4 linked regions of the Drosophila melanogaster genome follow. The protein of the gene in region 1 interacts with the protein of each later gene in a pairwise test. Each region holds a gene or a part of one and is shown in the gene's direction. Other genes may lie near its edges. The genes, in order: CG16985, CG2017, Yp1 and bib.

Evidence for each region.
Region 2: the proteins of CG16985 (region 1) and CG2017 interact in a two-hybrid assay, tested with the Drosophila melanogaster proteins (one large-scale study listed by BioGRID).
Region 3: the proteins of CG16985 (region 1) and Yp1 interact in a two-hybrid assay, tested with the Drosophila melanogaster proteins (one large-scale study listed by BioGRID).
Region 4: the proteins of CG16985 (region 1) and bib interact in a two-hybrid assay, tested with the Drosophila melanogaster proteins (one large-scale study listed by BioGRID).

The regions. Positions count from the first base shown.
Region 1 is NT_037436.4:2,594,792-2,601,124, forward strand, and holds CG16985 (uncharacterized protein), read left to right. Parts: upstream 1-4,528; 5' UTR 4,529-4,565; coding exon 4,566-4,589; exon of another isoform or gene 4,590-4,644; coding exon 4,645-4,710; exon of another isoform or gene 4,711-4,788; intron 4,789-4,896; coding exon 4,897-5,041; intron 5,042-5,105; coding exon 5,106-5,320; 3' UTR 5,321-5,451; downstream 5,452-6,333. Other genes in the region: dos (daughter of sevenless), read left to right, coding at 1-255; CG16984 (uncharacterized protein), read left to right, coding at 1,079-1,184, 1,241-2,058; CG12182 (uncharacterized protein), read right to left, coding at 2,199-2,351, 2,403-4,279, 4,474-4,528; CG16986 (uncharacterized protein), read left to right, coding at 6,079-6,168, 6,230-6,333.
Region 2 is NT_033777.3:5,855,866-5,865,681, reverse strand, and holds CG2017 (uncharacterized protein), read left to right. Parts: upstream 1-3,276; 5' UTR 3,277-3,404; coding exon 3,405-3,512; intron 3,513-3,779; exon of another isoform or gene 3,780-3,935; intron 3,936-4,377; exon of another isoform or gene 4,378-4,692; intron 4,693-5,277; coding exon 5,278-5,950; intron 5,951-6,161; coding exon 6,162-7,039; exon of another isoform or gene 7,040-7,097; coding exon 7,098-7,370; 3' UTR 7,371-7,599; downstream 7,600-9,816. Other genes in the region: side-III (sidestep III), read left to right, coding at 1-533; ECSIT, read right to left, coding at 7,782-9,011; disp (dispatched), read left to right, coding at 9,774-9,816.
Region 3 is NC_004354.4:10,051,294-10,058,136, forward strand, and holds Yp1 (yolk protein 1), read left to right. Parts: upstream 1-2,517; 5' UTR 2,518-2,623; coding exon 2,624-2,843; intron 2,844-2,920; coding exon 2,921-4,020; 3' UTR 4,021-4,205; downstream 4,206-6,843. Other genes in the region: Yp2 (yolk protein 2), read right to left, coding at 1-987, 1,056-1,290; CG15312 (uncharacterized protein), read right to left, coding at 6,003-6,436. UniProt on the Drosophila melanogaster protein: Vitellogenin is the major yolk protein of eggs where it is used as a food source during embryogenesis. Along with Yp2 and Yp3, and their receptor yl/yolkless, required for maintenance of microtubule plus-end orientation towards the posterior pole of oocytes.
Region 4 is NT_033779.5:9,981,676-9,989,385, forward strand, and holds the start of bib (big brain), read left to right. Parts: upstream 1-2,969; 5' UTR 2,970-3,274; coding exon 3,275-3,471; intron 3,472-5,113; coding exon 5,114-5,280; intron 5,281-5,925; coding exon 5,926-6,052; intron 6,053-7,710. UniProt on the Drosophila melanogaster protein: Essential for proper differentiation of ectoderm. Acts synergistically with neurogenic locus proteins Notch and Delta during the separation of neural and epidermal cell lineages in response to the lateral inhibition signal.

The DNA.
Region 1 (6,333 bases):
ACTGAGCACAAGCTGCAGTACTTTGATCTGGATGTGACCAACAAACCGCCATTGCTAAATCGATCCAGCATGAGTGTGGGGAATCTGTACTCACAAGGCGGAAATGGAGCTAGTGGAATGCGATTCGCAGGCGTCGAAGCTGGCGGAGCTCGAGCGCCAGTGCCTAGCAGCGTGGTCTATAGATCCGTGGACTTTGTCAAGACGGAGGCATTTAAGAGGATTCGAGAGGAGCGCGAGAGCAGCGGCAACAAGTGAAACTGCTGGTTCAGCTAAATGAAATCATATCTCCAGTACATCTACTTGTCAACGTGCAATAGCAAAGGAAGGACCATGTTGCTGATCCGAGATTTTCGTAGTGCCTATTGGTGGTCAGCTGAGGAGAGCTGACCCCATCCAAAAACAGTGCAAATTTCGAGTGGCTTTTACATTCGTTAACATCGTCAAATTCATTATTCATTAAACCACATATCTAGCTTGTAAGACGGCACCAGCATTTCTGTGTGCTGTTTTGAATCTGTAATCTGTAACCCGTATCTGAATCTATGTCGTATTCGTATTTAAATCGTGCTTCCAACACTTCCATGTTTATTGTTAAGCTTCGGAATCAAAATGTAACCATGACAAACGATCTTAGTGCTAATTTTACAATGCAAACAATTATTTTATATACGCAAGCGAAATATTTATATACACGAATTTTATATGGTAACAAATTATTTACAATTTAATAATGTAACTCGTGTGCGACACAAGCTGTAGCTTGATTTTGTGCTTTAAAAAATATATATACAATAATACCAATTTTGTGTGTTCTCCTAAAAGATCCAGAACAAATATCGAATTCCGATTGCTAGAAAATATCTGAATATTACAATATCACCAGGAAACGATGTTGCCTTCTGTTTATTCTGGAAATCCTATAGCAACCTTTGTTTCGAGTTAAATCAATCCAAGTCAACGCAGAGGTACTTGGCAACGCAGGAGTCTCCACCAAACAGACTGTTATTATTAAACGAATAGTCAGTAAACTAGCACGCTTTCGAGTTCCCTACCTTCATCCTTACATATTTGTATTACAATGTCCCTGGTTTATATCACCCATCACGATGAGAATATTCTCGAGTGCGAGCAGGACTTTGTGAAGGCCCAAGGACCTAAGGAATCAATTTTTGTCTACAAAAATCGTAGGGATTCGTACTAAAAATCGTTACCTCCCACCTAACTTTAAGCAATTTTGCAGCTGTTGTGGAGAGGGCAGCCAAGTATGCCAAGAGACTTCGCGAACGCTTTAACGAGGAGGACAAGAAGCTATCGATTATCCTCCAGAACGATGGAACCCGCGTCCTGACAGAGGCCAAGAAATCAGCCCACCGCACCATGGGCTGTGCTCACACTCCGATTGACCCACCGTGCGCCTATTTGCGCAAGAGCCAGGGCATCAAATGGCGGCGAGAGAACACCCACAAGTGTCCCAAGATGCCGCCAATGCCCCCACTACCACCACCGGGCAGTGGCGGCAAAAAGCCGGCAATGGTACCTAACTTCATCAAACGCAACAAGATATGTGCCGGACAAACGGTTCCCTGTCCCCCGCCACCTCGTTATGTAGACACTCCCGTGGGAGCTCGTCACGATCTACTCAATTCCGGATTGGTACCGCAGTTTATCTGCCGCAAGGATTTCGGCAAGGTGCCTGTTTACCTCAAGAAAACCAAGAGGATGTTGGCCGACATGAATGCGGTGTGTGCCAAGGAACAGGCACGTTTGCTGGAGCTGTGCCGCGGTATCAAGGGTTTCACCAGGGCATCCGTCCAATCAAGTGGTCCGCCGCCAATGCCGGGTATGCGGGTGATGGAGCAGGCCGAGCGAAATGAGATCCTCGAGGGACTGCGACTGAGCCTGACCGAGATGACCAAGCAGTATCAGTCGATGTCGCTCCTTATCGACAGCATCGCCAAGCGGCAGCGCAAAAGCAAGCTGGAGTCCGATCTTCGCCAGGTGGAGCAGGACATTCTGCTAATCGAGACCACTCCCATTATCTATGTTTCCGAGTACTAACAATGACACACACACCTTTTCTGACCATGTGTGTCGGCATCTGGAAGCCGAGTGAGGTGTCTCCATGGATTCACTTGCTTTGCTCTTAGAGGCGGACACACAAAACACTTCGTAATTAAGATTGAGAATAAATTTAACGTTTATGCATTAAACATTTCCGTGGCAAAGCTTCCATGGCAAACGGGACATGTCAGATGTCTCCCCGACTCGTAGAGTTCTTGCAGATTGTCCAGCTCGAATAGGATTTGGCGGTTGCAGAGGCTGCAGTAGCGTCGCTCCAAGCTGAGGGAGATCTGTACGGATACTGTAGTCTTGTCTTAAAATGAATTCTAGTGAATTCTTACCTCCACAAAGGACACACTGCATCGATGAAGTTGCTTCTGGGGATTAGATATCACAGGTATACCTAGCATCTCGTGCAAGTGCTGAATATGGTTGCCCATTTGTTCAACGAATGTCCTTGCTGTGGATCCTAGGGCATGGTTTTCCGTGAAGTCGTCATTGAGTTTATTTATCAGTCTGTGGGCCTCCTCGAACATACATTTTATCGCCTGCTCCTGGAATGGTGATCTCTTACTTAATGACCCAATAAACTGGAGCCTCAGTCTTATGTGTGTGATATTCAGCATCGCAAGGAGCAGCTGCAGTTCATCCCGGGACTTTTGGATGTGAACTGTCAGCTGGAGGTGGCTCGATTGCAGGCGAATCACGTTTTGAAGAACATGAAATTTAATTTGCAGCTGCTGCAGCTGACCTTCAGTGGCGGTATCGGCAAATTCAATGGAATCTAATGGACAAAAGTCCATAAATTTTTGCCAATTCTCCTCGGCAAAAACGTGCAGACGTAGTCCAGCTAATAAATCGGTATAGTGATTCATGGGCTTATTGGATTCCAGATGCCTGACAAGCTGATCAAGTGGATCCTGATTCCCCACCTTGAGCACTTGCATAACCAACTGGTTCTTTTGAGATACAGTTTCATTTAGATATTCCTTGTTGCGGTAGAGTAACAGGGTCATTAAGTTCTTGTGCCTACTGGTGCACAGTCCCATCACCTGGAAATCCTGAAGGACACCCATGGCTATCGATTGCATCTGCAGGCTAAGCTGATTATTCTCGTGGATAATTTGTACGCAAGACAAACAGCTTCCAGCGGTTCCTGCAACGTAGCTACTGTTCTCCAGGCTGCAGAGAGCGGTGATCTTCATTCCGCCGACATAGATCCGAGCTTGCAGGCAGTCTGTGCTCCCCGTTCTTGGCATGCTCCAGGTCAGCAGGTGCGCCGCCTTGCAGCAGGTTATATAATAGCAATCCATTCTGGGACATTCAGTGATCACTGCCATTTGCAGACCCATGCGATCGGCTTTCTCCCACAAGGGCTTCACTAAGGCGAGAGCTGTATTTCCCTTAGCTGGCAATTGGTACAGGTGAATGAGTCCGTTGCTATCGCCCACCAGTAGAAGGTCCTTGAAAGCTTGTATATGGCAGATACGACCCATTGAGGTTTTCGTTTCTTGATGACTTAAAAGAGTTTTGACATCGGCGCTTAGTGTGAGCAACCACAAACTTCCTGCGGCTGTTCCCAGAACCAAAACATGCTGGCCAGTGGCATCTGCATCATCAGGTAACCAAGCAAACATAGTGATCCAGGCGGGATTAATATATTCTTGATAGCTCTTAAAGTCTTTTATCTTGGCGATGTCCACTTCAGGCAGCAGAGTGTCCCTCAGAGTTTCAGCGATATTTAGTCCTTCCACAGGGTTCCAACGATTGTACTCAGCGGACTTGTTTATTAGGCTCAAGGATCCATAAGTGTTGAGGGAGCCCAGGAGGAGATTTCCATTAGCTGCCAGCTTGGGTGCTCGCTTAACAGCTGTTAGTCTGGCTGGTGGCACGGCAACGGAGCACACAGCCGTGTATGCCGGGTCCAGGGCCAAGTGCTGTGCCTCCAGGACATCGCAGCTGTCGTATATGGCAACCAGATCCACTTTGTTGGCCAAAACGTCCAGAGGTCGTGTTTCCGCAGCGTTGGAATCATAAATGGCCACAAAATACGGAAAGGGATCCACGACCATGAACTTGCTGCTCAATTCCAGAGTGATCACTTCCGATTTGGAGCCGCTCAGTGCTATAAAGTCTCCATCGGAATCGCTGTTTACAAAGTCGTGTACCGAGTCCTGGCGGACGAATCCTTTGGCTAGAAGGTGAAAATCCAGATAATCTAGAACGAAATTAAACATTTATTAATTGCAATAACAAACTGCAATTATATTACAAGATATTCCAGTTACACTATTTCATTGAAGAATAGGAATTATTTGTAAGTGCGAACAGAGCGAGCACAACAAACCGCGCGAAATCGGCAATCACTATCTCAGATGTGTGGGTATATCTATTTAGCACGCATACACTCACATTTCCCGACATCTTGAACGCCATGTGAAATTTCTCCCTCAGTAACTTTCGTCATTTCGTCGTGCTCAGTTCAGGAATCCAAATCCACCGGAATGGCGGCCAAGAAACTGGGAATGGTTAGAGCACCATGTAACTTGTTGAGTAGATAACTGAAGTTCTTTCTTTTCAAAGGACTTTGTGAAGCAGATGTCCGAGTACGCCAGCGGGTCCAATGGATTCGACCGCGTCTTGAAAATGGTAAGATTCTAAACAATTTGTGCAGCCGATTTTAAAGCGACGCCGTCGAAGTCTCTCAAAAACAGCTGACTGTCATCAGTGATGGTATTACATAATTCAGCTCGCTGCAATCGATAACCGTGAAGTGCTCACCTCTCTCGTGGGATCTTCAGAGATTCAAAAATGTAAACAAATTTCAATTCGCAGATTAAAATTACAGGCGGTGGAGATGGTCGCGCAATAGGGGAGTTCACTGTGGCCAATGAGCATTTGAATCGCCAAGGAACTTTGCACGGTGGTCTTACGGCAACAATTGTTGATAATTGTACCACATATGCCCTTATGTCGAAAGGTATTTTGAAAGTTTGTTTATTACAATCTATAGAATCTACAATGAAATTTTTTTAAATTTCAAGGATCCCATCCCGGAGTTACGGCCAACCTGAATGTAAGCTACATTGCAGCAGCGAAACCTGGCGAACTTATTGAAATTGATTGTAATACCGTGCGGGCCGGTAAGAAAATGGCCTATTTGGACTGCATTCTGAGGCGTAAGTCCGATGGAAAGATCATCGCCAAGGGCGGACAGGTCAAGTACATTCAGTTCGACAAGGAAAAACTGGATTTTTAAAACAATTTTTGTAGATCGTCAGAAAACGAAATAAAATCTTTCGAACCTCTGCTTAAGACGTACTAGTTTAATTATTTATTATTTCTTAAGTTAGTTATTTCTTAATTTACAAAATAAAGATATTTAAAACTAAAATAGATGAAAGACTATAGAAATCCCAACGGATAATTTTTAAATAGGTAGGACTTTGCATATCGATTTGCCCTTTTAACTTATCGATTGGCGATTCTGCTTATCGCAAAACAGCTGTTGTTTGTTTTGAAATTGTTTTGTTAGGTGTTACGTTAGATTTTCAGATTTTTATGTAAATTTCGGGCAGTACGGGGATAGTTAGGTAGGATCCGTTAACTAAATACTAACTATTTCATAATATCGTGCTATATTATGTTTACCTTATTTTTTGATACTTGCTAATTGTTTACTTTTCATCGAAAAGCGGAAAACTGCACTCGAAGATAATGAAATCAAATATTGAAAAAATCAAAGCAATCCATTTGTTAATATACTACTGTGATTTATTTTTTAATGGATTTAGTCCCATCCAAACTTACACACGTCATACATACAATAAAGTTGGATTGTTCTATTGTAAAACAATTACTATCTGACACTTGAGATATAAGTGCACGTTACGACTACTTATCTATCTACAAAACTAAATCTAGTATATTTCTAATCGTTCCGATCGGACAAACTAATTCATTTTGTAGTTATATAGAAGCTAGCGGATCGTCTGTAAAGCAACATCAATAAATAATATGGGAACTCGCAAGAAGGGACTCGAATTCGCTAAACACATCACCGAGATTATCAACAAGTCAACGGGCTTTGAAAGTCACCTACAGAAGGTTAGATCACCATAGAGTCTCCTTACCAATATCATTATCTCATCCTTATATTCCATTAAAGGTCAAGATCGTAGACGGTGGCGATGGAGCCTGCACTGCTGAGCTAAAGGTGGACCAGGATCATGTGAACTTGTACAAGTTTTTGCACGGCGGTTATATCATGAC
Region 2 (9,816 bases), on another chromosome or scaffold:
CGCTTCTCTACGACGCCATGCCCACGCTGAGTCGCTACGAGCAGCTGGGCCTGAGCATGGCCAGCTATTCAGCCGGAGCGGGCACGGGCGGCAGCAGCAGCACCCTCAGCTCCGCCGGCAGCACGGTGAGCAATGCGATGGCCGCCAACGGAAGTGCGGGCCCGGGTGGCTATGCCGCCCACCTGCACCACACACTGCCCCACAACATGGCTCCTCAGCGGGGCCACGATCCGCTCAACCTGGCCGACTACCTGACCACCAGCAGCCTTATAGACTACGGCCTCAACAAGCCGCCCGCTGCCCACATGACGCTGCCCAAGGGCATGGGTCTGGGCCTGGGGATGGGATTGGGAGTGGGCGTTGGAGCAGGAATGGGCGTCGGTCCTGGACCGGGAATGGGCATGGGCATGGCATCGACGATGGCCGGCACGAGCCTGTCGCCGTCGCAGCTAAACACCATCACGCACAAGTCGGCGGCAGGACGAAACCACATCATCACGGACACACTGCCCGGGCCGGAGAGCTGCGTCTAAGCACCATCCTGTCGTCCTGGCATGGAAACCAAAAGACTGGCGCACAGCAGTAGCCCAAAAACACAGCCGAATCAGAGTGACACCGAACAACTACTAGTCATGTGAAGCTGCGGTCAAGTTTGCGGTGAAGGGGTTGAATGCGTTAGTTAATCCAGGTCAAGCCACCCTTATAAGTTTACTGATTCTACAGACCAAGTTTGAGAGTATGGAGTATAAAGTATACATGGTTTTATAGAAAAATTTAAATCTATTTCGAAGAAGATACGTGTTGTTTTTAGTAAACATTCGGTAAATTTTAAATGTTTATGTTTGTAAAACAACATATCCTAAATTTACGAACTACACTGTAAACTAAATAATTTTAGGATTCCAGAAATCACATTTTGTTAGTTGTATAGCGTTTTGTAAGCTCTATTATCTGATTAATATAAGATTATTCTAAACTAGAAATGAAATGGAGATTATCATTGTCAAAACGAAACTTTCTTAGAATAAATCTGTTGTAAAATTAAAAGTGCTGTAAGAAAGCCAATTTTAAGTTGGTTTTGAGTTTGGTCTTAAGCGAATTTGAAAAGAGGGTACTACCAACTTGACCGCAGCTGTACATTTAAAAACCTTGTTCGACAGCGTCGCTTAGAAGTAATTACTAGATGTAGAGGAGTAGCTAAAGTACGAATATGTATATGTAATACGTGTGTCTGTGTCTCCGTTCGTTTGTAAATGTTTAAGCTAAGTGTAACCGTAGATGTACTTGTATACTATATCCTCCGACTGGTGTAGGTCGTAGCCCCTCCCAGCCCCGCGCCTCGTGGTTCAGTCTTTAATTTAAGGGGCGACCCCCAAGGTGAAACTAATCTTCCACGACCTGTACCCATTGCGAGGCCGAGTGGCTGGGAGCAGGGCTCTCCAACTCGAAACTCGTTGTTGAATCTGTTTGTCCCGGCTAAAGTGAGAAGAACACATCCCCCGGAAAACATAGCCCCTCCTGCCGCAGACGCACTATTTGAACTGCCCTCCCGCAAACGAGATCAAAGTCGGGCCGACCCGAAAAAAGGCAAAGTTATATTGGACACGTCTTGCGCCATTGCGTGCCCAGTGCTGGTCATTATTTAACTTTTAAACACGCGCCAAAAACAGCACCAGATTTGAATTTAATGGTCACAGCAGTTGCTCCCGCTCCCGCTACCGCTCCGGCTCCACTGGCATTAGCAGCGGGGCCAGCCAACAAGTGAGCAATAAAGAAAAGTTTAGAAAAATATCCCAATCCATGCTGCCGGCCGAATCACCAATCCGGAGTACCCCATCCCAAATGAATGGGTATATAGAACTGGGCACGGATTTGTGCGCACGATAGCGCAAAACGATGACAATAAATGGAAAACTTTTTAATAAGCTAATAAAATGATTTATGCGGGTCGAGCGATAAGAGGGATAAAAGGCACGGAGTTCCACTTCCAGATGGCCATTTGATGGGCCCGATTCCGGCCAATTCCGACAGACAGACACCTCATTGACGAACGCCAACCAGTTGGACCTGAGCACGCACACACACACACACATACACAACGAATGTATTCTTGAGCATTATTTATTGGATATTGAATGGGTCGGCCCAGCTCGCAGGATTGGGGCAGTTCAAGAGGGGAGCGTAGCCCCCACCCCCCCACCACCCTATCATCCCCCTTTCATTGGCAATTGTTATCAAGGCATTAGCACATCGGAAATGCTATACGACTATATCATACTCAAGACAAGGGCTAAACGACTATAAGTGTTCTAACGTTTGTCATATCAGTTGGGCGATTCAGTTCTTGACTTTCTATCGAAAAAACGTAATTGAAAAAAAGAAATGTATATGCTAAGTCATCGATAGCGATTAGTAAAATCAATGTAATGTCATAATGTTTAAATGTAAAAGTTATAGCATCCAGGTAACTGGTAGAGCAAATCGTAAACTTCCTCCAAGTTTATACATATATAGTAAAGGTCCCCGCTGTAGATAACCAAAATCGAGTGCCAGTAGTGCAATTTTAAAACGATCCCCAACAACCTGTAGCATCACGACATCCCCATGATCCATGTCGAGGTCAGCAGATACTATTTTATGAGCCTCAGAGAGGTCAACGATGTACATACATACATGCAAGCCCAAGTCCCGAAAACAGACAGACATACATACATATACACATCATTGTAACTGACTACATATGTAAAAATGCTTAAAATATTTGTGATAAAGTAATAATGTTAATGATAAGGAATAAAACGTAAATATATTAATGAGAATACATTGAGTTTGAATTAAAGCAATTCGAGTTGTATTTTCATTGCTGGGAGGCACAAGGTTTCCTAAATTCTTTTTTTAGCAATCTAAAAACGTTACCATATCTTCACTCATTTGAATGATTTTTTGATACCAATACAAAATTATTTTGTAGCAAAGCAGATGTTTTTGAGCTTGCAAGATAGCTCCATCGAGATTGGAATTAAGTTCTATGCTGGCTAATAAACTTATTTGAGTAAAATTTACCAAAACGAATTCTCAACACTAAAGTACTAAAGTAAAGTATGGAAATGTAGGACATGCAGATGACCGCCTTCGCAACCCCATTTATTGTTAAAAATACGTTACTATTTAAATTTGAAAAATGTGTGCCGTTCACAATGGACGCCCCGTCAGCCAGTGTTGGTAAGGGTGCGCAGCAACTGGATAGGTCAGTGTCCAAAAGGGACTAACGCGTGGCGAGCATAAACATCTGTTTGTCGGAGTCACAAAATGTAGGAAGTTTATGGTTTATAATAATTGATTGGATTGCTGGCGCAACTTTGGCGTCCCCGAAATTTGAAGTGTGTTGTGAGTGCTTAACCCACATGAGTGCAAAATTGCCATGGCAACGTGAATCGAACACGAACAGCAACACCCACACAGAGACCATTGAAGATCCGCGCATTGTGGCGCAGTATTGCATCAGCAACTGCGTAAGTGCAGCACATTGACTCCATTTTTGTTTTGCTGATGAAATCGCAGCGCGATTTTTGTTTCTTGTGAAATTCCGCTCTATGCTTGCCAAGCTTTTGTTTGTTGGTTGCATGAATTCGGTAAACGCGACAGTTACTTCCCGGAATTCAAACGGAAAGGAGCTTTCCGCGAAGCGTCCTCAATCAATTTCGAGATAGAGATAGAGAATAATAACGCAGCTGACGCGGTCAAAACAAAAGCGCTTGTGTAGAAAATCAAATGCGAAGCAAACGCGGCGAGGACAAGACGCGAAAAGCTGTCAAAACTACGCGCCGAAAAAGGAAAGGGTCTGGTCGATCAGAAATCCGCTACGCAACACAGATTGCGTATCTACATAAAACGTAATAATTTAATTGTGTGGGAGTTATCTCACAATTAAGAAGGTTCGTTTTTAAACTAAGTTTCCTTATTTGAACAACAATCGTAGAACTAAAGAGGTGTGTTTGAATTGTGGAAAGCCAAGCATTAATTGTTGAATAAAATTATCAAACGTCGCGGCTTCGCATCAAAATCGTGAAAAAGTTAACTTTTATAGTTCCAGTGTCGAAGGACGTAATGGCGTGTGACGTAATTAAACATTGTATATCCTGCCTTCTAATTGCAAAAATAAAGTAATTAGAATTAAAACCTATAAATTTACCATTTATCGTTAGCTTTAGTAATTAAATAGGTTCGTAATAACATCCCGCATTAAATATTTAGGTAACTTTCTTCTTGTGGAAATTCACTAAGTTAATTTTTTTAAGCTCAACCCCCACTTGCTAAACAAAAAATACGTTCCATGAAAGAACTCAAACGCCCTAGGGTAAGGTATTGCGAAAGCTTTTGAAGTATTCAGGTGCTTGTTCTTCGGTCAACAAAGCAAAACAATCGGGAGCAGGTTATAAACAAAATCGAAAGGCACCCAAAAGCGGAGAGCACAAGTACGCACACAACTACGAACTACAACTACAAAGCACAGCACTCAGAACCCAGATAGCCGAACGAACAACAAATTCGACCTGGGCAAATGAAAAGCGCAGCCAAAATCGATATTTTGTGCCAGCGTCGCGCGCAAATAGGAGCTGCTTTAGCGCTTAATATCTCGAATAAACTCGAGCGGATTGGTTTGATTAGTGAGCCAAATATAGGGATTATCTGGTAAGATGTTTGGAACTTGTCGTATTATCGACCTTCTGTTCCACCTGCCCCCGCGCGTGGGCTCGAAACAACGGCCAGAGTCGTGGCAAACATAAACAAGCATTTTCAAGGTCGCTGCAAGTCAAAGACGGCCAAAAAAACAAATGGGGAAAATTTCAGTTTTGATGGATACACATAAGCAAACGGTTCCATCAAAAAGATACATAGAAGTTGAAAAATAATTGTTTTTAAAGTGAAACAAATGACGTGGTGTCGAAATAAAATTAAAAAAACTTTAGTACAATATTAAAAGTTATTTCAACCCAATTATATTGGGTAATTCTCAGACTAAATACAGTACAGTATGAGTAAACAAATCAAATAATATTTACTTATGCATGTATCTCATTGCTATTATTTCAGCCACGGCTGTTCGAAAATCTGTATGTATGTACATAAGTATGTACATATGTACATTTTCGATGTCGCAATTGGCCCAAAAAATGTTTTCTTCTCAAGACAAAGAGTTCCTTTGTCTAAACAGAATTTTTACCATTTACCTCATCTGAATTTTGTATTTATATGATCCACGCTTCCCTTTTGCAGCAACACATTATGGAGTCCTTCCTGAGTCTCTTTGATCCCAATCAGGACGACGGCTTCGAGGAAGAGCCCGAGCTCAATGGCAACAGCAGCGGCGGCGGAAGCAGCAGCAGCGACTATGAGACGGACGCCAATGCCAACGAGTGCAGCGTAGTGAGCGGGATGCCCACCGAGCGGGGCAACCTGATCTTCGACTTCGAGCAGGGAATGCTGCCACCAGAGCCGCAGCTCGGAAATGTGGAGTACAAGCTGAAGCTGGTCAACCCGTCGAAGCAGCGATTCGAGCACCTGGTGACCCAGATGAAGTGGCGTCTGCGCGAGGGAAACGGCGAGGCCATCTACGAGATTGGAGTATCCGACGCCGGCTATCTGCAGGGACTCAGCGACAAGGACATGAATGCCTCGCTCACCACGCTCAAGCAGATGGCCCACAGCCTAGGAGCCAGTACCTCAGTGCTGCGGCGAAAGACCATCGCCGCCCGACGCGCCGTCGCCGAGGTACTGGTCCGTAAGATCCCCGACGACCAGCACAACATCGAGGTTCGGGTGGCGGTGCTCGGCGGAGCTGATGCAGGCAAATCCACTTTGCTGGGCGTGCTTACACAGGACGAGCTGGATAACGGACACGGCCGGGCGCGGCTCAATATGTTTAGGCACATGCACGAGATTCAGTCTGGTAATATGTCGTTATAAGCACTAAACACAGATATAAATTAAATTAAGATGTTTGGCATCCATTTTAAATTGTCATCAATAAGGAATATATCAGTTGTACTACATTATTCATACATCTCTCGTTTACAAACTTTTTTTTAAATTATATTTATCACTCACAAAGTCCGGTTTGTTTGCTTGAAAATTACCAATTTGCTCCTCTTTTCCTTAAGGCCGCACCTCCTGCATCTCCCACGAGACGCTTGGCTTCGATGCACTGGGTAATGTGGTCAACTACAAGTACAATGAGATGATGACGGCAGAGGAGATTAGCGACAGGTCCAGCAAGCTGGTTACCTTCATGGATCTAGCCGGACACCGACGCTACATGCGCACCACCGTGCAGGCACTGAGTGGATACTCACCCCACTACGCCATGCTGGTGGTATCGGCGGGCAGCGGTTGCAACGACACCACCGAGGAGCACTTGGCTATCGTGCGGGCACTGGACATGCCCTTCTTTGTATTGGTCACGAAGACAGATATCACATCGCCGGACGCGACGGTACAGGAGTTGTGCAACCTGCTCACCACCATTGGGTGCCGGAAGGTTCCCTTTGTGGTGACCAACACGGATGAGGCCATCTCCGCCGGGTCAAACCAGATCTCCGAGAACATTGTGCCCATCTTTTGCGTATCGAATGTGACCGGCACGGGACTCAACCTAGTCACAAAGTTTCTGTACGTCCTTTCGCCCGGAATCAGCAACGCCGAGAAGGATCGACTCGAGCAGGAGTCTTGCGAGTTCCAGGTGGACGAGATCTTCCGGGTCTCTGACGTCGGACCCGTTGTGGGCGGTCTACTTGTCCAGGGCGTGCTGACCGAGAATATGGCAATGAAGATTGGTCCGCTTCCCGATGGTAGCTTTCATCCCGTTACTGTTAATACTATCCACCGAAACAAGGCTCCTTGCCGAGTTGTCCGAGCTGGTCAGAGCGCTTCGCTGTCTTTCAGTATGGATCAGGATGTGCCCACGCTACGAAGTGGCATGGTTCTTTTGGGTGATATTGGAAATAGTCTGGATGAGCCCTACGGGACCTTCTTCTTCCAAGTGAGTTGCTAGTTTTCATTTATCGTTACCAAATAAATACATCAACTTCCCTTTGCAGGCCAAGGTGTCCGTGCTGTTCCACGCCACGGCCATCTATGTCGGCTTCCAAACCACAGTCCACATAGGCAGCATTCGCCAGACGGCCGTCATTCGGGGCATTATGGGCGGCGAGCGACTGGGCACAAACGATTGTGCTTCGGTGATGTTCGAGTTCGTCGGCCACCCGGAGTACGTGCGTCCTGGAATGCGCATCCTGTTCCGCGAGGGCACCAGCAAAGGAATCGGAGTTGTCACGCAGGTGTTTCCGGTCAACAAGACAGGCATAAAGTAGAGAAGCGGGCCAGATGGATAGTTCCAATGACATATCTATATATCTCAAACAAAGATGACATGTACATATACTTAATTAGCAATTAGAGGGAGGCGTTAAATCTTAGGCAGATCTTCTGTACACTTAGTTTCGGGTTCTGTGATTTTTCGTTTAAGCTCGGCTCACAATCGGATGTTGTGAGTAATCCTTCTCAATTAACCTTATTTCATTAAAATCCACCCCAAAATGCATACAATGTTGCTTTCAATTCGCGTCCGAGCCAAAGAGTATAAATAATTACCGAAGTATTAATTTTTTTCCTTCTAGCAGATGTACATATATATGTACATATGATCAAAACCGACTAACTTTAAGCAACATTTACCATCAATTCTATGGTATACAAAGACGAAAAAGTGCTCAACAATTTGTTTATTTCTGTCTACTGCTAATGTGCTCATCTTGACTACTGTTATCACTTGTTGCCGGGACACTGGCGCCACCTTCAATTTCCTCCGCCTTGGCTGGCACTTCGGATGTGAACCGGAAGAGGACGGGCACCTCTCCTATGGAGGGATTTCCGTTCGCTTCCAACAGGCGAATCCACGAGAGCAATGAGTCCTTTGTGGAGGTGCCTGTGGCACAGATGGCCATAATGGTTCCGTCGTCCTGTTGGTGGACAGAGCGCAGCTTTCCCAGCTGGTTGTGTCGCCTTGGTGGAGCACGACCAAAGAAGGGTACTTCGATGTGGGAGACATCGTCCTCGTCCAGCTGCCGCTCATCTAATTCAGACAGGAACTCAGAATCTGCATCAGCGCGCAGGGTAAAGTAGTTGATCCGGCGATTCCTAAGCCATATGTGAAAGGGTCCCTCGATGTACAGAGCTTTCTGGCGAGAGTGCTCCCGCAGCAGTTTCTCCTGCTCGGGACTCATTCCGCTCACGATCCACGTATCGTCAATGGCATCCTTCAGCTCGCTGGTCTCGAAAACCGTGATTTTGGACCGCAGGTCGACCGTGCACATCCGCTCTAGCGCCAGCTTGGCCATTTCCAATGTATCATCCGGAACAGGATCGGGCAGTGGCCACGGTGATAGGTTCTTAAACTTTGGCATCCAGTACATCATGCGCCAATACTTGCGCAGTGGATGTCCCTGCCTGCCAAACACATTAAGCAGCATCGCCTCCATCTCGTGATCGGGCATCACCCCGCAATCTTCCATCTGCTCAAGCAGATCAATGATACACTGCTGCTGTTTGGGGTAGTGCATGAACTCTGCCTGGAACATGTTGGTGGGTATGAACTTGCCCTTGGGCATCACGTTGATCAGGGCCTTGTAGACCTCCAAGTCTCTTTCCACCCCGAAATCCGCCATATTCTTGAGTGCCGCGTAGATGAACTCCACATGGTTCCGACGGTGGACGTCGCGCTCCTGGAATATCTCCACCATGGTCAGGTAGCTGTTTTTCGTCCTGTCCTGGGCGGCGGCAAAGGGGTTCCTTAAAGCCGGCAGGTTTTTGGTGCCGGGTTTTTGTGCCCTGGGATTTGGATTCGGGTTCTGTTTCGGATTTCCCTCGTCCGTAGCGTAGTTTCGAAAGCGGCTGACCAGCGAATGGCCTCCATTGCCGTGCAGCCGGAGCAGGCATTGTGCGCGGCGCAGCATTTTTTATTTATAATTAATTAATTGAATAAATTTGCAAATACGATTACAAAACATTGCACAAGCTGCGGAACTAGTTCGCGTTTTGCAGCACTGCTGCTGCAACATATGTTTTAATAGTGCCGATAGTCTAGCGTATTTAGCCAAATTTGGTAAATTCTAGGGCGAAAAATTGTATTTAGTTTCGGCTGTACCCAAAGATTTTCAAGCTTAAATAGTGTCATGACCGTAATACACGCTTAAAGTCATACGCTAGTAACAAAAGTTGAAGTGAATATTGCATAAGCTCATTGTGACTACCTTCACGAATCTCTTCCTTCGGAGAACAGCTGTTTGTCTGGCTTAGGGCCATCATCACTGGTGACTGAGTTGCTCAACACTGTATTAACTCAGTGTATCCTTTGTGCTGCTTTTTGTTGTTATTTCACCGTTTTCTGCGTTATCCTTATTCGCATAGTTTTCGGTTGTTTTTCTGTTGTTTAAGTTAGTTCCGAACCCTGAGTTATTTGCACGGGCGCGCGCCTACATAAAAATGCAATCCAACAAGCCGATCTCTGCGGCGGAGGCCTGACCAGCAGGCAGTATCTATAACAGAAGCAAAACAATAGACTTTGGCTTGGTCCCAAGGAGCACCCACCAGCCCAACGTTATTCGAGACTTCCAGCCGCCAAGGATGCACTGAAGGGAAGCGGAAACCCAAGGAGCATTTGATGTTCCCGCAATGCGAAGAGGGTAAAGAGGATTCGGGCATCACATTCTACTGACATGTTGTGCTTCGACTCGGAGAGGATGAACTGGTACTACCACG
Region 3 (6,843 bases), on another chromosome or scaffold:
TCGAGTTCACCTGCAGAATGTAATCGCCCTGCAGATCGAAATCGGTAGCGATGCCCATGTAGCCGCGCTTGCCATAGCCCTTGTTCTGCTTGTACTCCTGGTACGAGCTGGCGGCCACGGAGGGGAAGTTCCTCTCGTTTCCAGGACGCACGGACTCGGCGAAGTAGCGGGTGGCACGCATGGTGGCCTCAACGACATTATCGGCTCCGGGCACTCCGGTCGAGGGTCCGTTGGGGAAGAAGTCCACGTTGGCCAATCGCTGGCTGGTACCCATGCCGTAGGCGGAGGTGTGGATGGCATCAACGAAGTCAGCATCACCACGGGCCAGTCCGGTCAGCCTCTCCTCGGGCTTGCCGTAGATCTTAGTGGGGTCCAGGGCGGTGATGCGGCGCAACTTGTGTCCGGTCTGACGGGTGAACTGGCGTCCAGCCACTCCGGCAACGTGGGCAGCGGGTCCAGAGCCAATCAGATGGATAATCTCTTGGGGCACGTTCACGGTGTTGGTCAGCTCAACCAGACGGTTGCCAATGATCTCGCCCAGACGCTCAATGTTCAGGGTGGCGTACTGCTCAAAGTCCTCGATGGCATTGCCCAGCTGAATCACAATCAGGTCTCCGGTCTTGGTATCATCCTGTTCACCGTTCTGCTTCCTGCGCTGCGTTTGCTGCTCCTCGCTGGAACTCCTCTGGCTCTGCTCCTCGTTGGAGTAGTCGGTGGTCTCATAGGGCTGGAGGTTGTAACGCTGCTGGTAGGCCTGCACCAGCTTCCTGGTAGCCTTCTGCACTTGGGTGTTGGTCTCGGGCAGGCCCTGGATGAAGATGGTGACCTCATCGTCGCCGAACTTCTGCTGGCGCTTAACCTTCTCCACCAAAGTGTTCAGGTTGAACTCGATCTTCTGGCCGCGCTCGCCGACAATGTAGCCCCTGATCTGGCTGGGTTCCGGGGTGTAATCGGGCTTGAAGACATGGTTGAACTGGGACAGATGGTCTGCGGGATAGGATAGTGCGTGTAAATATAACATGATTGGTAGAACTTTTAGAGATCCTTGAACTTACAGAGCTTGTCCAACAGCGTAGCGCCCTCCTCCAGGCTCATCTCCTGCAGCTTCTTAAGGGTAACCTCCTTCAGGTTGGGCAGCTCCTCGACTTCACGTGGATTGACCCAGTTGCTGGGCTGCTCCACATTGTCCAGGGAGTTGGATCGGCGACCGGAACGGTTACCAGATTGGGGATTACCCATGGCGACCGCCAGAAGGCAGGCCATAACGCAAAGGGTGCGCAGAGGATTCATTGTGGCTTCCAAGTTCGACTTTTTCAGACACCGTACCAAATTGTACTGCATACCCACTGCTGCGACTCAATGCATTTTATACCCCTTGGAATCGGTAGTCTATACACACTATAATGCACGCGCCGGAAGCAATTGATTTCAGCAACCGATTTCTGGATCAGCACAAATGCATTGATTCGCAGCGTCAGTGATTTTGCAACACTTCTGATGAGCTCTAAAATTTCGTTCCCCTTTTTTTTTTTTTTTTTTGGTTATTAAGTATCCATCGGGTAACAGGTAATGGGAAACTTCTTTAACCAGCACTTTCATAACATAAACAAAAGGTGGTCTGGCCATTAAGGGGCTTGACAGTGGGGGCACGACTTGAACTCATGCACAGGTCAAGATAAAGCTTTTGTTTGAAAAAAATATTTGGCAATTTTGTGAAATTTATGCAACTATTTAAGTGTTTGCCAAAAGAATTGTCTAAATTGTTCTATAAGCAGATAGCACTTTCAGGGAAATGCAAAATAAATATATTATAAATTATAATATTATAAATATAAATATTTACATCTATCGAAATATACATATATTTTTAATAAGTAGAATGAGTTACATGAAATAGCATCGATAAGATCATATATTATAAAACGAATCCCGGATATTAAAATAGAATCTCCTTGAAAAACGTTCCCCTGAATCAATTCATTTCTAAAGTCCAAAAACAAATATAATCTTACTATCTTGCCTTGGAAACTACAAACATTCCATACTTTTCGTATCAATGGCAAACATCTAGGAATCAATGAACTGTATCGGCCTTGAATTGAAAATGCAAAATTATGGACTTTTAATTAAGCAGAAGAAAAGTGCCAAATATAAATCTACTTATAAACAAAAAAAATCAATAAAATGTTGTATATAATAACCAACTAATGCCCATGTTAGATCTATATTTTATGCATTTATTTGATCAAATCCGGTGCACAACTACAATGTTGCAATCAGCGGAGCCTACAAAGTGATTACAAATTAAAATAATCAGGCGGCAGCAGGTGCTGCTAAGTCATCAGTGGGGTCAGCTATAGGTAGGCCCCGTGTCTATTTTGTATGTATACAATTTATTCCGCTATCGATAGCATATACACTCATCCGATTCCCAGGCACCCGAAAACCCTTACTCAGCACAAGTGACCGATTAAGGCCTGAGCCAGCGAAAAGCGAGTCAGAAAATGGGAAATCGCTCAGCGCAAATTGTGGTATATAAACCACCATCGTTGGATTTGGAAGGCCAGTTCAACTCACTCAGTGTTGAAGTCGCATCCGCAGGACCAAATCCCAAATCCGAACCATGAACCCCATGAGAGTGCTGAGCCTTCTGGCTTGCTTGGCGGTCGCCGCCTTGGCCAAGCCCAATGGCCGTATGGACAACTCCGTCAACCAGGCATTGAAGCCGTCGCAGTGGCTCTCCGGATCCCAGCTGGAGGCCATTCCCGCCCTCGACGATTTCACCATTGAGCGTCTGGAGAACATGAACCTGGAGCGTGGCGCCGAGCTGCTGCAGCAAGTCTGTGAGTAATCCTAGATGCAGATAAAAAAAAAAAAAAAAAACATCGAATATTCTATGGAATATATATATCCTTTGTAGACCACCTGTCGCAGATCCACCACAACGTTGAGCCCAACTATGTGCCCAGCGGCATCCAGGTCTATGTGCCCAAGCCCAATGGTGACAAGACCGTTGCTCCCCTGAACGAGATGATCCAGCGCCTGAAGCAGAAGCAGAACTTTGGTGAGGATGAGGTGACCATCATTGTGACCGGACTGCCCCAGACCAGCGAGACCGTGAAGAAGGCGACCAGGAAGCTGGTTCAGGCTTACATGCAGCGCTACAATCTGCAGCAGCAGCGCCAGCACGGCAAGAACGGCAACCAGGACTACCAGGATCAGAGCAACGAACAGAGGAAGAACCAGAGGACCAGCAGCGAGGAGGACTACAGCGAGGAGGTTAAGAACGCCAAGACCCAAAGCGGCGACATCATTGTGATCGATTTGGGCTCCAAGCTGAACACCTATGAGCGTTATGCCATGCTCGACATTGAGAAGACCGGCGCCAAGATCGGCAAGTGGATCGTCCAGATGGTCAACGAGTTGGACATGCCCTTCGATACCATTCACCTGATTGGCCAGAATGTGGGTGCCCATGTTGCCGGTGCCGCTGCCCAGGAATTCACCCGTCTCACCGGACACAAGCTGCGCCGTGTCACCGGTCTGGATCCCTCCAAGATCGTGGCCAAGAGCAAGAACACCCTGACCGGTCTGGCTCGCGGTGATGCTGAATTCGTTGACGCCATCCACACCTCGGTCTACGGCATGGGCACCCCCATCCGCTCCGGTGATGTTGACTTCTATCCCAATGGACCTGCCGCCGGTGTTCCCGGAGCCAGCAACGTGGTGGAGGCCGCCATGCGTGCCACCCGCTACTTCGCCGAGTCCGTGCGTCCCGGAAACGAGAGGAGCTTCCCCGCCGTGCCAGCCAACTCCCTGCAGCAGTACAAGCAGAACGATGGATTCGGCAAGCGTGCCTACATGGGCATCGATACCGCTCACGATCTCGAGGGTGACTACATTCTGCAGGTGAACCCCAAGTCTCCTTTCGGCCGCAACGCACCCGCCCAGAAGCAGAGCAGCTACCACGGTGTCCACCAGGCGTGGAACACCAACCAGGACAGCAAGGACTACCAGTAAGGATGAGTCTGCTTACTCTGGACACCTGGAATGGCAACTACCAAACAACAAACAACCACCCAACCACACAAACACTGTAGTCCCTAAGTTGAACCCATATTGGCCCTTTTCTTGAGATTACCTAAACATTTAACGAGCACATCGCGAAATTCAGCAAATAAACGCTCGATAAAGAGCTTAAAAATATCTATTTTGTTTATCTTAAATCATTTAGGAACTATAATAGTCTAATAGATCATCCCAAAAAAAAGGGAACAAAATCAAAAGTAAATATCGTAGTTTGGTTTTGTAAACTTAGATTTATTTTATTGTTGTCGGTGTTTTTGTGGTGTTGAGGTCTAATCTTCTCCACTTATGGCTTGGGCTCAGATTAGAAAATAATTTGTTTACGGTAATTTGGGGGGAGTATTGCTCATGGGAGGCTGGCGTTATAACAATAAACCTCAACATGAAGCGATAACAATTAGAAATACAGCCAAGAGTTTAGGATCAGGGCTTAGGCGAGAGACTTTTGCTTATTTAAACTTCCACCTATTTAAATAGGATGTTTCCATCTTCTGATTTTTAGTTTCAATCTTCGCTTAGTTAAGTGCACATTCCGAATTGTTAGAAATATTAATACTATATACTTGTTGGTAGCTCTAGCATATCAATGCAAAATATTGTTGGAACCAAGGAGTTCGGGCCAAGTTGGGCCACAAAAATATTGGTAAAAGCGCAGGCCAAAGTGTCTTAAATATTAACTACAGTCTTTCTTAAGATACCCACTCGCTATCTTTATGTACATTCCACACATTTTGTGATCGTTCTCACTATATATATATATATTTTTTTTTTGCTTCGGTATATTCACAATATTCGCTTGTTTAAAATTAGTTTTGATTTATCTTTTATAACAATTTCATTGTTTAGATTTTGTTTACTGTGAGTGGAAGCAATTTTTATTTTCATTTCTTTGAATATTTGGTTTTCAGGCTACTTTAACTACGTTAATAAATATTCCTATATCATATCATAATCAATTTATTTAGCTTTGAGGCCGAACTAAAGCACAAGGCATTTTGCCGTTTATTTAAAATGTTTATCAAACGTTTTTCACGGTTTTAAATATATATATATATATATATTTATATATCTATATATAGATCGTTTGGTGCGCTCTACAGTGCAAAATATTTGCTCAATTATAAAATTGTTTCACAGTTTGTTAAATCTTTACAACGGAACCAAAACAAGGACAAGTTCAAACGATATAGTCCGGTATCTATCAGAGACTATCAGAGATCTGTTACAATTGACTAATTTAATTTTAAATATTATAAAATCAGTTACAATTACAGAAAAGCATTAGTTCGGGCTAACAGACAAACGGACTGGGTGTAAGGACATTTATATTGATTAGTACTTGGTAACAGATCTCTTTTGGGCGATTTTTGAGGCTCTAAGCTAACTTGTCCGCTAAATTCTGTCGTCTATATATGTGGATCTGAATAATCCAGTGGCTGTAACTCAGATAGCGTGTTTAACTAGACAAAATACAATATGAGCTTTATAGCTACGAGCTTCAGCAAATTCATGATGGTTAATAGCTGGGTTTTTGGTGTTTCGTGTGCTTTATGGTAAATCCTTACAATGTTCGTTCAATTGAATTTGTATCACAGCAATATATTTGTTTTGGTTTATATTTATAATACGTGTATATATACTATATAGTTGTGATTCGGGGCATAGAAGCAATGCAATGAGCTCTAAATCAAAATCTCTGGCGATTTGTGGCGTTCTTTGTTTTTTTTTTTTTTTTTTTTTGGTATTTCATAGTTGAAGCTTGGACAGGAAACCGAAATGAAAACGAAACATTCGATCGATCGATAAGCTCTCTCTCATTTCTATATCTATGTATATGATGTAGAGGTGGATCCTAACTATCCAATCAAGCAGCAATGCAACAACCTTGGTGACCAGTGTTTGTACTCAAATACGTCTCAAATACGCTTGATGGTGGGTCCGGTGAAGAAGACGGAGACTTTACGCTTGAACCGCTCCATGGTGGGTTCGTGCTCCTCCTCGTAGTCGTCGTCATCATCGTCGTCCTGCCGCCGTAGGTGGTGGTGGTGGTGCTGCTGCTGGTTCTGCTGATGATGATACTGATGGTGGTGGCTCTGGTTTTGATGGCGGTGGTGCTGCGGTGGCAAATGCAAACGCGGCGGCGGAGGCGTTCGATGGTGCTGGCCAAAGATGATGGTGCGCGGAAATGGCATGGCCACATCGTCATCGTCATCCTCCCCAGCATCCTGATCGCCAGCACTGCCCCCATGACCTTGGCCACCAGGCTCTGGTCCGCCGTCCGACTCGCTGAAACCGGGATTAAGTATTATGTTCGGTATGAGCTCAATGCTGTCCCAACCATCTTGCAGTTCTTTTTTAGATGAAATCGGAAGAAGTTTACAGTTTATAGATATTAATTCAAAATGGAGAAGGAGACAGAGAGCAGAAGAAGAAATAGAGAGAGAGAGAGAGAAGAAAAAACATTTATTAGGATTATTTTTGATAATTGTTCTCTACATTACCTCGTTTGCTAGGGATTTTTATATTGTCTGTGTTGGTATGTGAGTGTGTGTTTCGGGGGTGTTTTTTATTTTTATTTTTCTGAGTGTAGCTGTGCAACAGTTTAACACAAATATTTACAGGCGGCGCTTCAGCCAAGTGTCACTCAAACAACGCGACACTTTAGCCCCCAAGCGTCGCACAGGGCGTATGCGTAATGCAAGCAACAACTTTGTCTCGCTAAATAAGTGTGCCCACAGCAGTGTCCAAAATAATAGG
Region 4 (7,710 bases), on another chromosome or scaffold:
TGGCGAACACGATCAACAGTTCATCGGTTCGACTCGCATATCTCTAATAATGATATCAGGGCATCCTCCCCGGGGAATTCAGCATTCTGATTGCCCCATCGACAGCTTACCGAAGAGCAGGCGGCTTTTCCCAGGCCCCTTTCCCTTTTTTTTTCGGCCCCAGCAGGCGAGGCATCGTGACACCATCACCACATCCATTTGCAACTGCGGCAACCTGCACTATGGAGAATTCCCGAAGGTTCCGTGGCATCCTGTCTTGCACCCACGACGTGGTCATTACACTGCAAGCAATAAGGATGAAGATAATGTGGTTACTTTAGTAAATTGAACTTTATTTCATTTGAAATTTGAAGGTAAATAATGTTTTTTTATTTCAGGGTTTGAATAAATTCTTTCATTTAAATATCCTTTTCTTTTTATATTGTAATCTTATCTCTCAGTCATTTGTAGCTGTGTAAGCAAAAACAATTACAAAAAGGGTAAAAAGCATGCTTATGGGTATATTTTCGAATGAAAGGCATCCGTACTAAATTCGTGAAAATATGGTACATACAGTAAATAAACTTGTTTAATTTTTTCGAAATTTGAATCATTTTTAACATTTGTCCATATATTGGTTACACAGTTAGAAGCTACAAAGTTACGAATAGAGAATACTTCAGAACTTGAGTAGTAATGGGTATATTAAATGCGGCGCATTATCAAGCTCAGCTTAATGTAACCAAAGGAAAAGAATGAAAAGGATAAGAGCTTCATCTCCAATTCTTTTCTGCTCTCCCACAAAAAGAGTAAAACGACAGCATATCTCCAAAATGAGATGAGCGTATTCGGTTACTCTCGTTGTCTTTCTCCCACGATAAGTACGGACATGGATGTATCCAGAGGGGGGTCTTATCAATATTATTATCAATTGTGAAGTATTAAATTTTTAGTGAATGTGTTTAAAATTGTTTTCTACGGGTAATTCTTAACAGCTCTTACCTTCTCAGTAATCTATTTAAAATCTTTACTTCTTCTCCATAGGTACAATCACTTTTAATTTCCTTCTTAAATCTTTGATATCATATCAAAGAATGACTTAAAAAGTGTAATATTGATAAAATCAATAACTAAGAAACTAACTTGAACTACCTCCATGGCTGCAGGAAGGGGATCTTGCATGCACACGAGCAGAAAGACCGGCGACGATGATTATGGTGATGATGATGATGATGATGACGACGATGTGATTGAAACAAAACATCTTATTATTACCTTACCTTCGACCGGCCAAAGGAACGACCCCGTGCGACCTCGACGTAAAAACAAGCGAAAAATACGAAATAAAAAGTGAAAAACAAAAAGTCAGACACACACACAGAGAGTGTGTGCAAAATAATTCCCACGCTCAGAGGTCCCAGAGCCAGAGCCTTTTGTCGTCTCGTCTCCTTCGGCGTCTCCTCCGCATCATCATCCCCATTATCATCATCGTCATCATCATGGTGCTCCAACGTGCCATATATGGCAACGTCCTTCCGACGGCCCCCTGCCTTCCTCCGCCCCTTTTTTTTCCGAAGTTTGTCGGAAAAAAAATAATGTACAAAATCGCAACAGTGACGAAATTTCTGAGGCCTCCTCGCTTTCTTCGAGTCCCTCTTTTCTTGTGGCCGGGCAAAGAAGTCTGCGTGATTGATTTCACTTCGTCCACGGAGTGGCGAACCTAATTTCTTAACTTTCACAGCTCATTGGGCTTGAAGAATCACTCGACTCACACGAGGACAGCTTGACAATTGACAGGTAAGGGTATCAAGTGGTTAGGGCTCATAATTATAGTTTTTAGTGATGCGGAAAATGTGAACCGGTGAGAATGGCCCCTTTTTCGGCATCTCCCTTTGGAGTTTCTGGCCCGAAAGTGCACTCAAGAAAATGGTCAATCTTAAAGTACTTAAATCTCTACATAAAGAATTTAATGTCATACATACATACATATTAAATCACAAAAAGGCTTCATCTTGTAATCTATAATGGATGTGTTTTAATTTATTATCTTATTATCGATATGTTCGGGAATAAAATATGTATAATTTTATATATACTAACTATTATAGCAACTATATCATAACTATAATTTTCCCTTGGCGAATTCCAGTGTGATGGTCCTGGGATCGAAATCAGTTTTATTTTAATACACCGAGTTAACCACAAAAGTGGCATGCCCAACTCATCTAATGAAAGTTTTTGCCCATTCGGGCAGATTATTTTACATTTCATTAATGTGTCGAAAAAGGGAAATGCTTTCAATGAAAGCTGCTCCCAGGCCCAGCTGCCTGTGTTCCCCATCATCATCATCATCATCCTCATTCTCATCGTCGCAACCATCATCATCATCATCATCTTTGGGTCCCGGGAATCTGGAATCTGTGTTATTGATCAGTGCTGCGCAATTAACTTAGCAACTTATGATTATGATTATGCTGCCGAATGGGTGGTGAGTACGAGGCATTACTCATGTATGGCGGTAAAACCAACAGGTTGACAGGACCTCTGTTTCGTTTCCATTCCGTTCCAATGCACTGAGCATATTTTGGAAACTGTGAAATCAATATATTTGATATTAAATATTATCTTATGAGGTTATTTAATGTATAAAATGTGGCTTTTACTTAGAAGTGTGCAACTAAAAAATTATTTATATAAGTAAGTATAAGTTGTTGGAAATTACTTATACGTTTATATAAGTATATCGTTCAAAATATATATAGGAAAGATAATGATATTAAAACGTTGTTTTTGCTTGCAGATTTCCATCGTTTGCTGCGTGACAAATGCACCTTATTTATTTCTCAGTGCAGGGGTTGCTTATCCACCACTGCGTCGGTGGAGTGGGCAGCTGTTTCGCTGCCGCCGCCGAGCGATAGTGGTGGTGGTGTTGGTGGTGAGTTGTGTTGCAACTTCAACTTGTTCCTGAGGGCCGTGGACGTCGATGTCGGCGAGCAGAAGCAACCTGACTCTGACTCGACTCGGTTATTCGCTCACCACTCGCGCTTGAATACGGACGTGTTTTCGGTTCGAAGTCAAAGTCAAAGTAGAAGGCGAATCACAACGGATCGGTCGAAAGTTCAGAAACTCGTCAATTGACATAAATTGAGTGCAATTTGCAGTGTGCGAAATGTGTGTCTAAGTGAAGCCAATCGACCAGCCAACAATTCGCCAGCTTCGCCGCCTCTTGTCGCGTGTTTCGCTCAATTCAACTACTTAATTAGTAGACATAAACAAATCGTGCTTTGAGTCCGACATGGCCGACGAAAGTCTGCACACCGTGCCCCTGGAGCACAACATAGACTACCACATCGTGACGCTATTCGAGCGCCTGGAGGCGATGCGTAAGGACTCGCACGGCGGTGGCCACGGGGTCAACAATCGCCTGTCCAGCACCCTGCAGGCTCCCAAGCGGAGCATGCAGGCTGAGATTCGCACGCTGGAGTTTTGGAGGTAAGTCAAGCCTGCCCTAGGACAAATACTTATATAGATATACGGGATTAACTATGTTATTTAATGACTGAAATTCGGAAAAACGTCTTTTGCCAAAAACTTGATATTTACAAGCGGCATTTTTGTCATAACTTCGCTAAAACTTCTCATATTGATGAAAGAATAACTGTTTTGAGCAGCTATTTACCAGAGCTATCGAACCCTATCACTTTTTGAAGGATTTAGGAAAATTAATTTTTGGGTGAATTTTCACATTTTTTGTAAGGGGTAACATCATCAAAATTTGAAAAAAAATGGCAAAAAAATTGAATTGTCGTTTTTAAATACAGTTCGATTAGGAATTTAATTGCGAGTTTAACGAGGTATAACATTCAATATTCAGACAACTATTTTAAATGTTCTGATAAAAAAACTGATAATTTTTGTGCAGAAAATTAGAGTAATGATTTGGGAAAAATGTCATTTTTACTAAGATTTTTTTAAGATTTTAAATAAAACCACAATCTGTTGTGTATGATCAAATACTTACAATTAGAGAGGGTAAAACATGATTGTATCTCGTATGCATATTAACTAACCCTTTTTAATCTAAACTAAATCTTCAATCTAAATGGCGGGGTTTTTTTCGCGTGTATATCATCTTCGAACCTTTTGTTTTTGTAGTCATTATCTGCACTTGCTTTCAATTTGCTCAACTTTAGATGGCAATTGTTGGATGTCAGCTGGCTTTGTCTGAACGCTAAGTAATTGAAATCCAAGTGTTCTCCAGACGCACATCATCAAGATAATCGCCAAACTAAACACGGCCAAAGTTTCGAGCACTTTGTGGCCCATACAAGGACCTTTTGCTCAGGGAACTGGCAAATAACAAACATTTCATCACGAGCTGATGGAGTAATTAAATCTTAGCCAGCAGCATGTCGAGCGCTTAAATTCCGGCTAAACTGCGGGACCCTTTTGTCTCAAGTCCTCCGACTGACCATTTAAAATGAAAAACTTGAACTTAGTGGGGAGCAGAGAACTTAGGCAGAAGTTGAGATACATATTTAGTTCCAATTAAAGTGAAGTGCCGCTGCCAAATTAAACAGCTGAATACATGATTTTATGGAAATTCATAAAGCCCTCGATTTGTTTGCATTTTCGTTATCGTGCAGCGGACTCTGCGCTTTTTAGCTTAATGTGAATCAACTGAATTCGGCAGCATTGCAGCTGCTCATCAGAACGCTTCCCCTAGAGCTCCCCCATCCGCTCCAGAACCCACTCGCAGTCCCTCCAGCTCCTCCTCAGCCTGCCCACCCGCCCCCTGCTTAATTGTCACTCCACGACTTGAGGGCAACAAAAAAGAGCTTTGTGTGCAACTTGATTTGTGCCGTACAGTAGATACCAGCTAACTTGGAAAAGTCTAGGGCTGCACGACAAAAACTTTGAAACGGATTTCATTTGATTTCAGTATGAATCCTTTGGCTCAACACGCTTAGCCTTACTATACTTAAGCGCTGAAATATATGTTTATGCAACCAATATTCACTGTACTGTACACATTCCACATGCAGTCGGTGGAGCCACATGCAAACCAAACCCAGTTGCGGAACCATGCTAACCCCGGGCTCGTTCGCCTTCTTCCATTCCTCTTCCATTCCAGATCCATCATCAGCGAGTGTCTGGCCTCCTTCATGTACGTGTTCATCGTCTGCGGTGCCGCCGCTGGCGTCGGAGTGGGGGCCAGTGTGTCGTCCGTGCTTTTGGCCACGGCTCTGGCCTCCGGCCTGGCGATGGCTACACTGACGCAGTGCTTCCTCCACATCTCGGGTAAGTCGAAGGAGACAATAAACAAGCGCAAAAACATCAACAGAATGGGGCGACAAGTGTCTCTTTTCGGGTTGCCCATTGGAATTGCGTGGGAAACTGCCGTTTTCAAGGGAGCCCCATGACCATAACCAGCCAGCACACGGAACCCCCTTTTTTTTTGTTTGCTATACTTTCGAGAAGGCAATGCACTCGGTGCGGCTCCACCTACTCCAGCTCCTTGGAATCTTATCGCCCCCGGGCCAAGTTCCACCACTTCTTTCTTTTTCCCTTATTCCCTTGCATTTATTCTGGTATTTATGTATTTGTTCATTTGCGTTGACATTCAAGGCAATTAAATGTCTTTACAAGTAAAAAAAGAAAAAGAGAATGAAAACAGACCAAAGACCAAAGTAATGTAGTTGGGACCCCATCGTGAAAAGCGTCTTGAAACATGTGTTCTTGATTTTCCTGCAACTCCCCCATTTTGTGTTGGCTTGCAATTCCCCGCCTTTTCACAGCCAATTGGTTGTGCATTAAGTTATGATGTTGTTCTATACGAAATGCCTTCCGAAGAAGTGTCAAATTGATATTAAATGTTGCTCCCCTTTGGGTGGCCACCACCAGAGATTGACGTCAGTATCTAAAGATATGCTTTCCCCTTCATAGGCGCCCACATCAATCCCGCCGTAACCCTGGCTCTATGCGTAGTGCGATCCATATCTCCGATCCGGGCTGCCATGTACATAACCGCACAATGTGGCGGAGGAATCGCCGGAGCTGCTCTGCTTTATGGGTAAGTTTTTTCGTATTTATTAAGTTACACATATCTTAAGTAGACAAATCATTGGTTTGAAAACAAGTAAGCCAAAATCATAAATAAACATTGCCCAATAAATGGAGTTTAAAGCGATATCCTTTTGAAAAGCCTCACATGAATAATTTAACCAATTGATTGAGCAAAGCCATTGATAGTCGAGGCTATCTATTATGCACATCAAATCCCCGCATTAAAAGCCTTATGTTGTCGCATACAGCACGCCAAACTCAATTGAACAGGAATTCATTTTAAATTTTCGGTGTGCAAGAGTGTATTTAAATCTGTGTATATTTGCACGCCTGACCACAGCAATTGCTGCATTATGCGAAGGACATCGTGCATCCTGCGTGTGGAATTGCCCAAAAGCAAACTGAAGAGTCTCAAATTAAATCCAACAGGCTGTCCAAAGAACCTAGTCGTAAATCAAAAGATTGTGGGACAGGCACGGGGAGAGAGGACAGAGGGATACTAGGATAAATCGGATAGAGACAGATGAAACGCACTTTTGGGCGATGACTGTACAACAAGGACTCACGACAGGAAGCGTGAAATGCGTAGAAATGGGGAATCCTACAAAAGAAATGTGCAGGTAACCTAGGACGAACACACACATACACATGCATATGCACAATCACCTGCAGGAAAAAGGACGCAGGTAGGCTAGGATTCTCTATCTGGCGAAGAAACATCTGCCCCTATGCTCAGATGTTTGCGTAGTGATTTCCCGCTTCGAAAATGAAATTTCTTTGTGATGCCTAGATAAAGGACCCTCTAGGCCAAGGATCTACACGCACACCAGCTAGCCAAAAATCTGTCTGCCTGTCACGGTTTTTCCTTTGTGTAACCAAAAATCGCAGGACGAAGGACGAACGAAACGGGAAAGAGGAGTATATATGTATATATATCTGCGCATGCGCACCATTTTTCAAATGTCGCTCCAGTTTTTTGTTGTGCGTTGAACTCCTTTTGGCAGCAATGTTAATGTTAATGCCTCTTCCCGATTGTCTGCTCGACATCTGTTTCGACCCTCGAAGAGAAGCCTCTTTTTAAGTGCGTTGGCATCTTTACTTTCTACAGATCCGATCCAAGAATCAGGAGGCGGAGAAAGGGACGAGGAGAAACATGTTTCAGCTGCTGCGATCAGGTTCGGGGTTTTTTTTCTTTCTTTCTACTCCTCCGATATGGATTTCTTAGGGTCCAACGAGTTCATCGAGTGTTTTAGTTGGAACATATGTTTACCTAAAAAAAAGGAGATTGGGGGAACCGCTCAGCTCCTTCCCCACAGCTGCCTGTGTGTGCTGATTAATTGGTTTAGATTCAGCCCATATAGCATATATATGTAGGTTATAGCTGCGCCTGGCGATTTCTCCGAAATCGTCGTGATTTTATGAAGGGTGTTAAACTTAATTTATCCATGATTTTCTTAAGCTTTGAGCCAGTAACCCTTACACATAACCATATAATAAGCAACTTTAGTTGGGATTAGCAAGGGATTTATAGCTTATATAGTAAAGATAAAAGATTCTATGTAGAATGTTTGGAATGCAGGAAAACGATTAGTTCCCTCGCTGCCAACAATGTGTGACAAAGAGCATTTTTAAAAAATCTAGGGGCAAGACACCCACTCTCCAAGG